Coturnix japonica: one gene and its partner. The protein of the gene in region 1 interacts with the protein of each later gene in a pairwise test. Links are inferred from orthologs where the notes say so. Each region holds a gene or a part of one and is shown in the gene's direction. Other genes may lie near its edges.

What was found. The genes of interacting proteins can lie anywhere in the genome.
Region 2: the proteins of TACC1 (region 1) and MEMO1 interact in binary tests that used the Homo sapiens proteins (3 or more experiments, as listed by UniProt). The two-hybrid records come from large-scale screens. The link is inferred for Coturnix japonica from reciprocal best matches to the Homo sapiens genes TACC1 and MEMO1.

The regions. Positions count from the first base shown.
Region 1 is NC_029537.1:3,767,841-3,775,855, forward strand, and holds the end of TACC1 (transforming acidic coiled-coil-containing protein 1), read left to right. Parts: intron 1-646; coding exon 647-707; intron 708-818; coding exon 819-1,017; intron 1,018-1,841; coding exon 1,842-1,897; intron 1,898-2,784; coding exon 2,785-2,919; intron 2,920-3,016; coding exon 3,017-3,093; intron 3,094-3,430; coding exon 3,431-3,474; intron 3,475-3,550; coding exon 3,551-3,711; intron 3,712-3,849; coding exon 3,850-3,956; intron 3,957-4,150; coding exon 4,151-4,271; intron 4,272-4,432; coding exon 4,433-4,501; 3' UTR 4,502-6,255; downstream 6,256-8,015. UniProt on the Homo sapiens protein: Involved in transcription regulation induced by nuclear receptors, including in T3 thyroid hormone and all-trans retinoic acid pathways. Might promote the nuclear localization of the receptors.
Region 2 is NC_029518.1:30,309,843-30,317,857, forward strand, and holds part of MEMO1 (protein MEMO1), read left to right. Parts: intron 1-1,323; coding exon 1,324-1,405; intron 1,406-3,055; coding exon 3,056-3,124; intron 3,125-4,036; exon of another isoform or gene 4,037-4,109; coding exon of another isoform or gene 4,110-4,144; intron 4,145-4,707; coding exon 4,708-4,820; intron 4,821-5,992; coding exon 5,993-6,104; intron 6,105-6,559; coding exon 6,560-6,702; intron 6,703-7,869; coding exon 7,870-7,946; intron 7,947-8,015. UniProt on the Homo sapiens protein: May control cell migration by relaying extracellular chemotactic signals to the microtubule cytoskeleton. Mediator of ERBB2 signaling.

The DNA.
Region 1 (8,015 bases):
AGCCCTGCCACTGGAACGGGGCATTTGGGAATGTGGGGTGAAGCCTGTGGAAGAAGCACCAGCCATGTATCACTGCAGGAGCGACCTGAACTCAGCCTTCAGCCCTCCTCAAGGCTTTCTACTCCAGTGTTTGCAACACACAGCAGTGCTGTCCTGTGAGCACAGCAGGGCTCTGCCCAGCTGCTCAGACCCACAGGGATGTGGGTGCTGCTATGTGGGTAGGGATGGGGCAGCACAGGTCTCTGTTGGGCACAGGACCACCTGCAAGGAAATCAGTGTGCACTCAGATGTGATACCATTGCACTGGACATGGAGGCCAGATGCAGCAGGGGAACCTTTCGTCACATCCTCTCTCGCCGTCAGCACCTCGTGTGCTTTCTGTGCTCCTTCCCTCCAATAGCAATAAACATCTCAAAGACAAACCCGATCTCTCTGTAGCTGTGTGTTTTGTTTGCTTGTTCCTTCTGCTCCTTCCAGAACTCACTCTGGCCCTCCAGTACCTCACTGGTGAGTGGTTTTGCTATGGGTGCAATGCTGGTGCTGGGGCTGCCTCCCCTCGCTTGGGCTGTCCCGCACGCACCTCTGCTGTCCCCTCCTTGGCCCTCATGAGCACCAGCTTAATGTGTCCATTTCCTTCTGTCTGCAGGAGCGGCTGCAAGGTGAAGCAGTACGAGACGCCGGCGCTGGTGCTGGATGGTTGTGCTCAGGTGGGTGGGAGCAGCAGGGGATGCTGAGCCTCCACTGCCCATCCACACAGCCCAGCTCTGATCCCTGCAGCTCAGCTCTGCCCTGTTAACCTGCACGCCTTGATCCCACAGGATGAGGGAACGTTGATCTCAGAAATCCCAGACGTTGCCACTCGGGATGGACGTGCCACTGATGAGGAGAAGTTGGCATCCACCTCCTGCACACAGAAAGCAGCCGGGCTGGAGAAGAAGGGAGAACCTGAGGATGACCTGGAGTACTTTGAGTGCTCCAATGTCCCTGTACCAGCGGTGAAGCCTGGCATGGAGGCAGGTAGGGAGCATCTCCACTGCCCCTGGCAGTGCTTGTGCCATGTATTGCTTGTCTACATTGCTTTCATTATGGAAAAATCAGTGTGCTCTTTATCTGGAGCATCCTGGCTTTAGAATGCCCCACAGCCCATTCCCTGCCTTGCTGAGCCCAGCATCCCAGCTCCTCTCAAAATGCATTGAGCTCAGTAATGAAAACACAAATGCAAAGTCAGGGCTGTTACTGAAAGCTTCCATCCTGCTCTGCTTTTGCTCCTGGTGCACCCTGTGCCAGCACAGCTGCCGGCACACACTGCCTGCTAATAGAGAGCTCCAGGTCACTGCTGAAGGCTACACTGCTGCTCCTGCTGTCTGTCTCCTATGTGATTATCTGCTGTGACCAATCTATTAAGAAATAATTAAAAGCCAGGCAATGTGGCACTTAATCGATAGCGAGTTATAGGTGCAAGCAGCAGAAATGGCCGCATGGAGGGCTTGCAGCTGGTCATTAATCAGCTCCCCTGAATGCTGCTCAGAGCTGCAGAGCTCTGAGAGAGCACTTTGTCTTATAGGGGAGGGATTCCATAACTGCACATCTCTGCTCCCTCAGCATCACTGATATGACAGCTGTGGGAACAAACAGAAGCTGGGCTGCCACCAGAGGGGAGTGTTGGCTGCAGCTGCAGCTGGGATGTGGGATGTATCCTCCCCTCAAGGGCAGGAGAAGGGTAGAAAGCCTACCCAGGTTTACTCAGGCCATGCACTGTACACCTACATCCCAGTGAAGCTGCATGTGCTGCCAGGGTCTCATTTCCTAGTAGCTAAAACATTTTATTTCTCTGTCTCCAGGCTTTGAGAAGGAGCTCTCCAAGCAAACGGACAAGGATGGATCTGTTGCCTTCCCTGTGAGTGATGCTTCCTTCCCCCTGTTTGCCCACAGTCACCTTGGGGTGGCTCTGCTGGGGCTGCTGAATGGTTGTGGGGCTGATGGTGATGTGTGTGTGTGGGGGGGGGGGTCTGTGCCAGCAGAGCTGCCTCTACCCAGAGCTGACAAGCAGGTGACAACGAGATTAGCAACATCAGCAACATCAGCACCTCTGAGACAGATTTAACTGCACTAAGCCCCACAAGGACACTGGGCAAAGTGAACCTTGTGTTTGGTGCTGCTGAGGCTGCCCAAGCTGTGGGGAAGGCAGAGCTGTGCAGCTGCTGTGCATGGTGCTGCAGGAGGTTGCTGAGGCTGCCTGGACCTGGGGCTGTGTCCAAAGTGGTTGCCCACAGCTCCATCATGGGTGGATCCAGGCAGGGGGAGAGGGAGAGGGAGAGGGAGAGGGAGAGGGAGAGGGAGAGGGGAGAGAAGTGCTTTTGTTTCCAAAACACTGCAGAACCAGGCTGCCTTCTCCCAGCACTTTGCTATTTATGGCCTCACAGCCCGTTTCCAAGGAGATAACTGTGAGGGGCTGCACTGCTGCAGAGACAGTGGAGGGAGGAAGAAGCTGCCTGAGCTGTGTGGTGCAGGAGTGCTTTGCTGGGGACATTCACCCACAGGACCCCCCCACCCATACCCAGCACCCACCCCCATGGTGCAGCCCTAGCTATTCTAGAGCCAAACACAGAGCAAAGCAAAGTGACATTGGATGGGAGCACAGCTCAGCTTACAGCTGGGTCTGCCCCTGCTCTGCCTCTTCTTTGGGGTGCAGGCCCAGGGGCAGTGAGGGGGTGACCCCAAACATGGGAACCAAGGAGAAAAGATGAGCAAAAGACAACACCCAGCTGGGTGATTCCCATGCAGGGCCATCCCATGCTGTGCCTGGCAGACAAACCCCCCACAGCCATCACCAGTGGCAGCAGAAGTGACAGCCCCTTGGACAGCATCTGCCTGAACGCCTCCGAGAAGGCGGCCGTGCTCACACTCATCCGGGAGGAGGTAACAGTGTGGGCTGCCCTGTCCTGCTCTGCAATGGAGGGATGGGGGTGGGCGTGATGGTGGAGCACAGCCAAGCTCTCCTTCTGCTGCTCCCCAGATAATCACAAAGGAGATCGAAGCCAATGAGTGGAAGAAGAAGTACGAGGAGAGTCGTCAGGAGGTCCTGGAGATGAGGTGGGACCCCTGCCCGGTGGGATGCTGCGCTCATGTTCCCCCTGCTTGTCTGTGGGGCCGTAATGGGATGACACAGTTCTGCTTCACTGGGGTGGGACACATCGCGAGGCATGTCTGCTTTGTGCCTGCGCTGTGTTGAGCCTGCAGTTTGTTTGTTGTGGGGATGAAATCCCATTAGCTGCGGATGGAGGGGATCTGGGAGCAGCAGCAGGGGGTGCCCAGGCTGTTGCAGCACTGGGGCCCAGGGCAGCGTGCTGGAGCAGAGCTGTGGGTGTGTGTCTGCGGGAACTGCTGCTTCCTACTCACTTTTGTTCTTTTATTTCTTTTTCTTTTGCAGGAAAATTGTGGCTGAGTATGAAAAGACCATTGCCCAGATGATAGGTGAGGTCCCAGTGCTGCGGGGCAGGGCAATGCTGTCTGTGCTCAGTCACCACATCCCTGTTTGTTCCCCTCACAGAGGATGAGCAGAGGACAAATATGACCTCCCAAAAGAACCTGCAACAGCTCACCATGGAGAAGGACCAGGCGCTGGCAGACCTCAACTCTGTGGAGAGGTCCCTATCGGATCTGTTCAGGAGATATGAAAACCTGAAGGGTGTCCTGGAAGGTTTTAAGAAGGTCCTGATCTCGGTGTCCTCCCCCATCCCTGCAGCTATGGGGGCTGTGCATTGCCCCCACCCTGTCCCATGCAGATCTGTCATCAGAGAAGCACGCTGTGCTTGGTCCCAGTGCAGATGGATATACTTTGTTTTCCAGAATGAAGAAGCCCTGAAGAAGTGTGCTCAGGACTATTTAAACCGTGTCAAGCAAGAGGAGCAGCGATACCAGGCCCTGAAGGTCCACGCGGAGGAGAAGTTGGACAAGTAAGAGCTGTGAGGTGCAGGAGGATGGGCAGCACATGCCTGGCCCTGAGTAATGAGCATTCACCTCCATGCAGCAGTAGCAAAACCACCTCTGATGCATTGCAGCGTGCAGGAGCTGGGCTCTGCTGGAACATCATGACCCAACATCCTTACCACAGAACTCCCACCCCATAACCCCATCTCTCCCCATGCAGAGCCAACGAGGAGATCGCCCAGGTGCGCACCAAGGCCAAAGCAGAGAGCGCAGCTCTGCATGCAGGGCTGAGAAAGGAGCAGATGAAGGTGGAGTCCCTGGAGAGAGCCCTGCAGCAGAAGGTAACGTCCACTGCCAGCACACTGGGGATGCTCTGTGCTTCCACTTTGGTGCTGGAGCTGTTCTCTCTGTTTTGGGGTCAGAAAGTGCTTTTGAGGATCAAGGGAGTGGGGTCATGAGGGGATGAGGAGGGATGTACCACAGGGTCCTGCTTCCTTTCCAGAACCAGGAGATCGAGGAGCTGACCAAGATCTGCGACGAGCTGATCGCGAAGCTGGGCAGGGCAGACTGAGCTCACCACCCCCAGCTCCACACCCGGCTGCTTTTCTCCTACCTTCGAGCACTTTGCCTTATTATTACCCCAGAGCGACCCTGCAGAAAGCACACGTGTGGCTGCTGCACCCCAGGTGTGAAGGTGGCCATCCCCATGTGCTGTCACTGTCCTCACGTGCTGCATGGCACAGCACCAAGGGCTGTTGTTTGGAGCACCAGGGAAGGAGCTCTGCTTGGAGCTCCTTTCCCCACTCAGCACGGCGAGGCACAGAGCAGCAGTCACTCTCTGGATCTTGCACTGCTCTCTCCAGTCCCCCTGCAGCACTGCGTAATGAGGGAAGCAAACAAAGCTGCCCTTTACAGGGAAAGGCAGATCCAGGCAGCATTTCCATGCAGGCTGCCTGCTGCTTTTGGAGGTGGTTACTCCTTAGTGAGCCCAGCAGAAGGGCTGAGGCTCCTTCCCTCACCACACACAGGCAGCCCTGAGGTGTCAGATAAGGGAAATAAATGCTGTTGGACTGTTTCCTACCTAGCCCAGCTAAAACCTTAGCAAACCTTTTTGCTGCTACCTTTTTTTGTAAAAGAAATTGAGCTGTTTTTCCTTCTATTTTCTAACCCCTGCGTTCCGCATGCAGTGCAGACATCTGTTAAAGCAGAGCCATACACCGGAGATATATTTTATTAGTTATCTATTAGAAAGGATTTATTATATAGACACAAAGCTCGGGCACACGCAGGGTCCCCACCCGGCTCCCACTGACTCAGCAAAGGGGCTGATGGCTGATGCTGTGCACCTGCAGTGTTGTGTTGAACGTTCACCTCTTTGCACAGCTGACAGAATAGAAAACCCCCTTTTTTCCCCCTCTTTCCTTTGCTGGGTTGTCACACTGCCAACCACAACCTGCTGCAGCACAGCTCCCCTCACCAGCACCGTGGTGGCTGCAGCCTGGCACCACTCTCTTCCCTTCTTCTCCTATGTATCGAGCTCCACAGCAGCCCTCCCAGCCCCAGCGTGGCTGCAGGGCACTGGTGGCAGCCAGGAGCGATGCCAGCACAGCGAGATCAAATCTTTGTGATGCTTCCTGCAGCACGGAGCTGCGTGGAAGGCAGAGCTGTACCCGCAGCAGTGATACGATGTGGCAGCATCCTCACACTGCTCTGCTCCTGCTGTCCACATGCTGCTGCCTCCACCACCCGCGTGCTGTTGCATTTCTGTGCCTCTCAGCGTGCACGTCCAGTCTGGGCAAAGATTCCTAAGGAATGATTTATTAACTATAATATGGTTATAGTTGCATATATATAAATATATACATACCAGCCATAGTTACCTATAACAGAAGGCGTATTTTAAGTTCACGTGGGCAACACTGCTGCATCCCCTGTTGCAGCTGTGGCCACCTTTCCTGCAGCAGAAATGATGTGTCCCTTTCAGCAGCAGTGTCCATGAACGCAGTGTTGCTGTGTGTGAGTTTGCCCCTAGATCTTATGTCTGCAGTGAAGTGCCAACGAGTGCCCACCCTGACTGCTCCCTGCTTCCATCCCTCCATCCTCCCCCCCCCCCTTTGTGCTGACTACTACCAGGCTCACTTTGTACACCATCCATCGCTGCCATCAGCCTTGATTTTGTATGTAATTTCCCTTTTATATGTCAGGTAAATATTTGTAAGAGTTATACTCACACAAAGGAGATTATTATGATGATTACTAATATATATATATATTTTTCCCCCCCCATGTTTCATTGCCTGAGTAAAAATGGTGTTTATCACTCTTGAAAGGTTTCATGCTGTTTTTAATGGTGGTGAGGGGATAAATCCCCTGGGTTGGGCCTGATTCTGCCTCATGTGTGTGGATGGGGTTGGGGCTGTGTTAGGGACCCTGGGGATGGCTCGGGGCTGTGCTGTGCCCATTGCCGTGCCCCTGGGCAGCTCCTGCCCTTGGAGCTGTGTCCCCTCCCAGCTCAGGTGGCATTAGGACGGGCTGCTAAGTGCGTTATCCTCAGCCCATAGATCCAATCGCCCAAGCAGATTACCATAAAACCTCGGGACAAAAGAGAGGCTATGTGCCACGGGCGAGCACTGCTGACAATGTCGCCCCTGAAGACCCTCCTGGCTCTGACCATCGTCACCTCCCTGGCGTTGGATGGTAAGTGACTGCAGCTGCCATGGAAGGGAACAGTCCCTGCTCCGGTGTAGGACTGAGGACAGGCAATGGGTGCGCGGCGCAGGGGCGCTGAGCTGCGGGGGGAGGCCGGGGCTGCACTCATCTCACGCTGATATTGGGATCTTCGCACCGAGGGGATGATGAAATGCAGCCGCGTTTGTAGTGGGCAGAGCAGTGAGAGGTACCGCTACGCACCCCGTGCTCGGTGTGGGTCCGTTCCCATCACGCGTGGGGACTTTTTCCTTTCCAAGAGAGGAAAAAGCGCCGCGAGAGGGCTCTGCTCGTCCAGCAAAGAGGGTGGACGTTTTCCTCCCGACGTTAAGCATTAATTCAACCACCTCTGTAACAACCAAGCGCTCCTCCTGATGGGGTGAGAGCGGGGCTTTTCGGAGGTGCTCCGTCTGCACGTATTCAAAGCAGCGCTGTTATTTCAGGGCTCTCATTATCACGCAGAGACAGCGGTGCTTTCAGATTTGCTCAGGCAGCTCCTGAGCTGAGTGGGATCTCCGCAGCCGCGCAGGGTCGGGGCTCCTCCACCCGCATAGAGCCCTTATAGGAGGGCTCTATATGTGAGCTCCTATAAGGGGGGGGCACTGCTGTGACACACGCATCCATCACCCCTCTGCAGTGCAGTGCCAATGGGTGCAGTTCTGTGCAGTGCAACGCACGGGGGAAGCTGCCTGCATGGCACACGCGTGCACTAAACCCCACCTGCACAGGCGCTCATTGCTCTGGCACAAAAAAGGACGGAGGTTGAAGGTTTTACGCTGCTGTACCTGGGACAGGGCTGCACCCACGCGATGCACACAGCACACAGAGGGCTCAGCACTGCCTCCCCTTGTGCAGGTGCAGCACTGAAATGCCACAAATGCGTCGCATCCAACGAGAACGACTGCAACAAGCAGGGCTCGCACAGCTGCCCTCAGTACGCAGACGCCTGCTCCACCATCACTGCACCCAGTAAGTCCGTGCCAGGGCTGCAAAGCTGCCACCACATCCTACTGCAGCTCAGCTGTGTGCTGGAGGGATGTGCTCCTGCTGCACGGCAGCACCTAACCCTGTGTGTTGTGCCTTCCCTTGCAGACAGCATCATCAAGTCCTGCTCCTACAAGTCCTTCTGTGACCAGGCACGGCGCGGCTCCGGGGGGGCCACCCTGCATTGCTGCTTCAGTGATGACTGCAATGGGCCACGGGGCTCACGCAGCTCCGGGGTAGCCACGATGCCACATCTGTCCTGTCTGCTGGCTGTGGGGCTGGTGGGGACGCTGCTGCTGGGTGTGCCATGATGGGCACAGCATGGCCAGGGGGTGGCACGGCCATGGGGGTGGCTCGGCATAGCATCTCAGTGCAGTAGTGTAGGCATCGCTCAG
Region 2 (8,015 bases), on another chromosome or scaffold:
GCAACAGTTTAGTCCTCTTTGAACAATCATATGAAATTGTAGAAAATTACCAGAAATCCTGCACCTTGCCTTTAAACTGTTCAGTGAGTTACCTGATTTGTCTTAATGAGAGATAAATCGTCTTAACTGTCTTCTTAATTAAAAATAGCTGCTGGACAAGGAATGGAAGAAGGCCAAACACATTGCATGGCTGGGGGTGAGTCCAGGTCTATCTCAGGGTGCCTGAAAGCTTCCGGCACTTCTGCTGTTGTGCTGCCACTGAGCCCTTTTCAGAGAGAAGTTTGAAGATGGGGCTGATTCATGGATTGTTTAAGTCTCTGGTTAGTAGGTGTTTCAAGGAGTCCATTATTAAAGGGCTTTGTTTAGAAACTTCTTGTACATGTTTTGAGAGAATTAAAAAAAATATATATTTTTTTTCTTAATTTTAGAAGGGTACGATAGAAGCAGTAGAACAAAATTGATATGTGTGTATTTTGGACAGATTAATTGCTTCATAAAGTTCCTGTGTTACAGCATGCCACTTGTGCCACGTTAAAGGTGTAGGCTGTGTCTGAGGCCCTGGAGGTGATTGTAGGTTGAGAGAAGGGTATTGCAGTAATGTTCAGCTTCTACGTGTGAGAAAATGGGAGTTCTTACAACCACAAAGGAAGTCCTTCCCCTCCTACCATCCCCTTCTACAGAAGCTGACGTATTGGCAATGTTATGTATAGCTGTAAGCAGCTCTTGAGAGAGCTGTCAGCATGAGATCTGGTCTGTGGAATGTGTAGTTAGGTTAATGTCAAGAAGTGTATGTACCTGTAGTATATGTATATAATTGGAAGCTGTTGTGGAATTAGTATTAGCACTGTTTCCAGCTGTCTTCTTTACAGTTTTTCCAACTTACAACATGCTTTATGTTGCGCTTCATATTCTGTTATATTACCATTGGCCATCATCTTGGTGTGTAGGATGCACCATCTTTCCATGTTGGTTTTTCTTGGCACATGTTGTCTTATTACTTCTGAATCCTGTGAATATGATTACTGGAAGAGTAAATGATCTACTGAGCTCCCTTTTGAGATCATTAGCCATGCTTTCTAATGATGTGCATCTGTCCAGACAGCATGTGGATGTAGAATCAATGAACTTCAAGGACAGAGAGTTTGAAATTTCTCTAGTGCCAACTTAAGCATTACAGGCATGTTGGTTTTTATACCTCCTTTTTCAGGACAGGCCATGAAGTTTAAGATTACTTTAAATGTTTGACTTTAAATGTTGATTATGGAGGTGTTCTAGATATATATATTTTTTTATGGCTTCAGTTATTTCCTTTTGTTTTCATAGGACCCCAGCTGAATGCACAACTAGAAGGCTGGCTTTCTCAAGTACAGTCCACAAAGAGACCTGCTAGAGCCATTATTGCACCGTAAGTTTGAAGTCCATTTTTGGTGTGTATAATATTTGGTTTGTTAAATACATACTTATTCTGAGTGATTTTTGAGAACTGGGGAAGTCCTGACTGTAGCTGAAAGAAACGTCATGTGGTTTCTCAATAATATTTAGAAAATGAAGTGGAAGTGGCATAAACCCATGATCATCTTGGTATATGATCAGTTTCCTTTTGCAGGTGGCTTGAAGAAATAATCTTTTCCTTGTGATCCTCTAAGATAAGAGGTAGCCTAAGACGATGACTCTTTCAATGCAGTTATTGCATTGAACAGCTACGTGTATGTTTATTTTTGAAGTCAACAAAGAGAAAACCACTTTGCAAAGCTAAAAATTGTATTGAAACATTTTTCAGCAATCCAAAATGGTTTACTTTTGTTGGGTGCTTTTTTGGTGTATTTATTTTTGTTTTGGGCTACAGGAGAAACCATCTCAGTTATTTAGGTAGAACTAAGTTTAATGACATTAGTGAAGGCTTGTATATATAAGAAAGGTATGTTGATTATTCAAGCTTGTTGTGGGTAGGAAGGGGATACTAGAAAATGCACCTTAATTAACTTCTGGTATTTCCTGTTGTAACCATAGTGTTAACATAACATTAGAGGTATTTCATAATAGTACTTAATCCATGGAAGAAACTGTCTCAAGTCTACCATGGTCTTTTCTTGCGGGAATATCTGGAGAAAGGCTTTCTAGCTGCGGCTTAGATAAAGATAAGATTTATTACTTAGATCTGTGCTCGGGTTCATAAGAAACACAACTTGCATTCCTAGATACGTGAGAAACACAGACTAGGCCTAACTACGAGCCTTAGCATGACTACTGCTACTATTATTTAAAGCACACTGTAACAGAGATGCTTCTGTGGCCTTGCTGAATTCTTCATTCATCTGTGCCTTTGTTTTGGCACCTGTAAAGTGGAACATGGCTAATACAGTTTTTGTGAAGGACAAAAACTTGCATCAGAGGGAACCTTTTGAAGGCTGTGTTAACCTTGCTGATTCACCCTGTCTCCCTGTTATCCACTTAGTCTGCAGTAGTGGAGCATTTTGAAGTAAAATCTGGGAATAATTTTGAGGATAACTTGCTCCAGATATCATCTGTATGTGTGCATCTTACTGCATTCCACTCCCTTATGCCTATTTATTCTGTTGTTGAGGTGGTTTTCATCATTGACTGAATATTTTTATTCTTCTTTCTGTTTTAACAGTCTGCTTTTGACAAACTCTTCCACTGTCCTCCATGTTCAGTTTACATGTATCTGGTTAGGAAAACTTCCTCCAACATTGTATTATTTCCATGTCTAGTGGTTGCACTCTCAGCATTACTATGAGCTTCTGATAGTATGCAGTTGTACAGAGGGCCTACTATATCTTTTATAAACAACAGAAGGTGCTTTGATTAAGGATGCCTATTTAATGTTTACTGCTAGCTCTTCTACAAATACATCATGCATGCATTCAGTATTGCAATAGTGCTCTTCAGCTGTTCCATGGGATGTTTTGAGGATTATTCTTGTTATTTCTAGTTTTTAGGTGATAAAGATGTTAATGTTTAATAGCAGTGTGAATGTGATGTGCATTGTACAAAAATGTTCAACAGAGTTAATGCTGTTTAACTTGATTTACAGCCATGCAGGATATACCTATTGTGGATCTTGTGCAGCCCATGCTTACAAGCAAGTAGATCCAAATATTACGTAAGTATTAAACTCTTCTTTAGGAATCTTAAGATGAGGTCTAGGAAGTGTTCTTTGTTACCCTTATATTTTTGGTTTTTTGTATACTGAAGTATTTGATCACATTCTGCATTGGTTATTTAGTGCAGGATTACAAGCTGAATGCTACCAGGATTGTCTTCTGCTATGGAGAAAAATAACCATTGTGTGTATATAATACTTAAAGCCAATGAAAGTTACTTGTTGTAATAGTTTTAAATGGACTTGTGTTACTAATGGCAGAGACTCAAAAGCCCAAAATTAAAAAAAACAAAACACCAACAACCAACAACACCAACAAGAAACATCCCCCACTGTAGTTTGTGTCTGCATCTAAAGGTATAAAGAGACTTTATTCTAGAAAGAAGTATAATTCTTTCCTGTTTTGACAGCAACATTTGTTCAATGTGAATTTTAAAACATCTCCAGTATTTTCTCACTGTATGCATCTTGCAATGCCAGTCTAAAAACTGGCTCTGTAAGTTGCTTAGAAGATAAATGTTGTGCTCCCAAAACCAAAACCAGTGTTAGCATACACTCTAAACTATTGTAAAACAACGTGAAGATAACTTAGTTTTAGAGAGGCCAGTTCTCTGTTACACTAAATCGAGTTGCATTCCCCAAGTTCAGTGACACAGTGAGTTAATTGAACTTTCTGGATCACTTGATGTTTTATTGCATGGGATGTCTAGAATTCACTAGAGTGTAATTAATCTTTCAACTGAAGTATTGTACATTTGGATTTTTTGCTTGTATGAGCTCTGTAAACAGGTGTAGTATTTTAGTATTGCTTTTATTTCGCATGCAAGAGAGAAGAAATAAAGATATTTTCATGTTTCCACCACTTTAGTTCAGTGCAGATGTGATCCTGATTCTGAAAAGCTGAATTTCCTGTAGATTTTTCTAAAGTTCTGTGGCAGGAGAGTTAAGCAAGAGCCAGGAGCTGATGACTTCATGAAATAATACCATGATGGGTGAAAGATGGCAATATCTGCTGAGGCTGTGAGTGTATAGATCCAGATCCTTGTTCTTAATGCAACAGCTGGGCAAATAAACCAGTTGAGGGTAGCTTAAAGTGGAATTTGGTATAACTTGAAGTAAAGGGTAATCAAGTAAACTACTGAACAGCTCCGAATAGGTGATAAATCTATAATCCTCACTTGAGAGTGCATACCTGTAATTGTTGACCACATATAAGTGAAGGTTGAGTTAGATTTTTCAATTTACTCCTTTGATCAAAGGGCTATAATGTATAATTCTGCCTTCAGATGACCCCAGTCAATTGCTAGTTGATTAGTGTTGGTATATAATCTGTTTGAGAGGTTTAAAGCTATGTGAAGCATTATTGCACCGATCTTAGGACTGTTTCTGAGTTACTGAGTGAGGATCAGGGATTGATCTGTGGTCTGATGCATAATAGAATAAAACTCTGCTGTTAACCACCAACTGCTCAAGTATTGCTTCATATGCCAGCATTTTTTTTAAACTTGTTACTCTAAACAAGCCTCTGTTCAATTGCTGTTGTCTAAATTCTGGGCTTCTTGTTTGTCTGTTGATTGTTGTAGCCGAAAAATTTTCATTCTTGGGCCTTCCCATCACGTGCCCCTTTCCCGATGTGCACTTTCCAGTGTGGACATTTATAGAACACCTCTGTATGATCTCCGAATTGACCAAAAGAGTAAGTGTGCAATAAAGCTTACCTGCTGTTGGCTGCTGGGGCTTCAGAATTAGCTGCGGTGGTGCAGTGCTGAGGACCATTATAGTGCTGGGCATATCATTGCTCTTCTGTGGCATACAGATGTGAAAGTTTTACTCCAATGAAAGCTAACTTCTTGAAGATCCTAACATATTAAGGTCTTTTTGCTCCAGCATTCTCTGAATTATTCTGTCTGCAAAAAACCACAGTGTTTTAGTTGGTTTGAATGTATTTCTAATGAAGGAACAGAAAACTACCTTTATTTGGCTGTCCCATTGCATGTGACTTTTTTTTCTTTTTTAATTAGTGTAGTACCTACAAAATTTAATGTTAGTCCATGAAAGACTGGTCTTCGAGAGTAAGTTTAAAGATGCACTGAAGATGGCTGTGATGTTCTGAGTCATATAATTTTCAAAGTATATCTAAACTATACTTTTCAGAAGTGCTTGTTAGCCAAATTTGTTGCTGCTTCATTATCACTGATTAACTGAGCCAGATCAGGCTTCCTGCATGATGCCTGTAAAAACTTCCTTAGGTGCCAAATATTCAAGGTTTTGCAGAACGCCTTTATGTAATGGAGAACAAGGCAGAGCCCTACGTCAGTCTACCCACCGAGTAGAGCTTCCTAATGCAGAGATCACTGTTTGCATACCACCAGGTTCACTTAAGAGAATGAAACATAGCTTATAGGTATGCATTACTTAATCAGATTTTGCTGTCTGATAATTCAGTTAATAGTAAACTATATTAAGTAGTAATACATCCAGCAATGACTCAGCTGGTCAACTTCTCAAAAACAATGTGATGGTGTAGTTTGGGAAAATAAGAGTTGAAAGACTAGGCACCTGCATGTATATTTTCTAATGTTCTACTATGCCATGAAGTTTCATTATTAGATCTTGTAGCATAGCTGAAAATCTCTATACCAACAAGGTGACTGATTTAACACAACTTTATTCTGTAAATTAAATAGTTTATGACTTGAACGTAATTTTAATCTTACGTTTATGTAGAAATCAAGTGGTTTATGTTGACAGTTCTTGGAGACAAGTAGTTTGATTTATTGGGCTTGTTTCTGATAATGGTGCACTACATTTTGCTTTATTGTTTGTGTGTGGGGAAGAATGATACAAATGATTTTTGATTCATTTCAGTTTATGGAGAACTGTGGAAGACCGGAATGTTTGAGCGTATGTCTTTACAGACAGATGAAGATGAACACAGTATTGAAATGCATTTGCCTTATACTGCTAAAGCCATGGAAAGGTACTAGGGCTATTTACTTCTTGTACAGGAACATACATGATGTGCATTAAAATGCAGTTGAGACATTTACCGTACAGAAGGAAGAAATAATATCTTTGTAGAGATTTTCCTACCATAGTCCCCCATCCCTCAAGGAAAACCTTGGGGAGGAGGGGTCAGAGACGAGTATTATTTGCTTGGAAGAGTAGTCTGCATTTGGGCAGTACTTGTACACAGAGATTTTATTTATTGATTTCACTTGTTTTTCTATTTTGCAGCAAAAATGCTGTTTTGGGGGGGGGGTTGTATTTTGAAACTGAAGTAGTTTGAGGTTTTAGATTAACTTAAGAGTATGATCTTATCAAGTGAACTGTGTCTCGAAAACGTCCTTTTAAAACATTCTGCAAATTGTTAGCAAGTCTTAAAACACCTTAAGATGACAGTTAAATTACAGCCTTTTTTCTTTTGCTTATAAGCCATAAGGATGAGTTTACTATTATTCCTGTGTTGGTCGGAGCACTGAGTGAGGCAAAAGAGCAGGAATTTGGAAAACTCTTCAGTAAATACCTAGCTGATCCTAGTAACCTCTTTGTGGTTTCTTCTGACTTTTGCCATTGGGGTAAGTTTCACATCTCTTTATGACAGCAGTATGATTAATATTTTGTATTCACTTTTTAAAGAACGTCTTTCATTAAATGCATTTTGACATTTTAACTTTTGGTAAATGTGTATTTGAAACTTAAATATGTTTGTAAAGCTGAAAAAAAAAAGTTGGAGCAATAGACAAAACTAAAATGATACTACAAAGTGATACTATGTTTTTCAGTGTAGCAAAGAGGTGGGGAAGGAATATGGGTTTATAAACATCTTTTCACTTGCAATGGAATGTCTAAAGTTCCTTGCTTTTTTTTGTTGTTGTTTTCTTTTTTACTTTTAAACATCTCAAGGGATATTGCAAAAGTAAATAGTTAAAAATTCACTGGACATGTCAACATCCCTTCAGAAATAAGTTTTGTATTTTTTATTGCTGAGTAAGATAGCAAATGGCATAAATACTCCAACTCAGCTGAGTTATTCCAGTTCATGGTGACAGAACTAGATAGATTCCAGAAGCCTAGATGTCTGTCATTTTGCTTTAATGCTTTGTTTTCCCTTTACTGTAACAATAGCCGGAAAGGGGAACTGCTTCACAAAGATGTTTTATGTTACACAACAGACCTTCTTACTTTTTATTCATGGTCTCCTTTGGTCACCTTATGTAACAAAGTTCATGTTTTACTCATCTTTGAACTGTGGAATAGGTGGACCTGTGTGACCTGTGTTCAGCTGCGGCCAGTGAGCCATCTAGAACCGTTTAATTGAATTACCCTGAACTTTTTCTTATAACCTTCATTTGCAGTGGGTGTTATTGTGTGAGCAGTAGCTTGACTCCAGGGTTGACTTTATATCTGAAGAGAAAAAGCGAAAATAAATGTTGCTTTACATGTAAACTTATAGAAATTGAGTCCAAGGCATTAACAGGCAGTTAATAAGCGACACTGCAGTGTCAGATCTACAGAACAGGCTTTTCTTTTTAAGTACAGCTGCCCTTCTCTTTAATTCTTTCACTTGGCTTCTGGGCTGCTTCTGTGGTAGCCCTAAAATTTTCTCAGTGGATCTAAAAGATGTAAAGCAAATGGAGATTACAACTTACAGATGTTACAGTTTCGATTAATTTGTAAGTACTAGGGAGTGTTTTAGCTTCAAATTTTCCCTTTTTTATTTTATACGTGATTTTTGTTTCAAGGTCAGAGGTTCCGTTACAGTTACTATGATGAATCCCAAGGAGAAATTTATAGATCCATTGAGCACCTAGATAAAATGGTAAGTTTTCAGATTTGGTGGAACTAACTAACAAGTTTCTCCTGTACTTTACATTACTTTGAACACGTC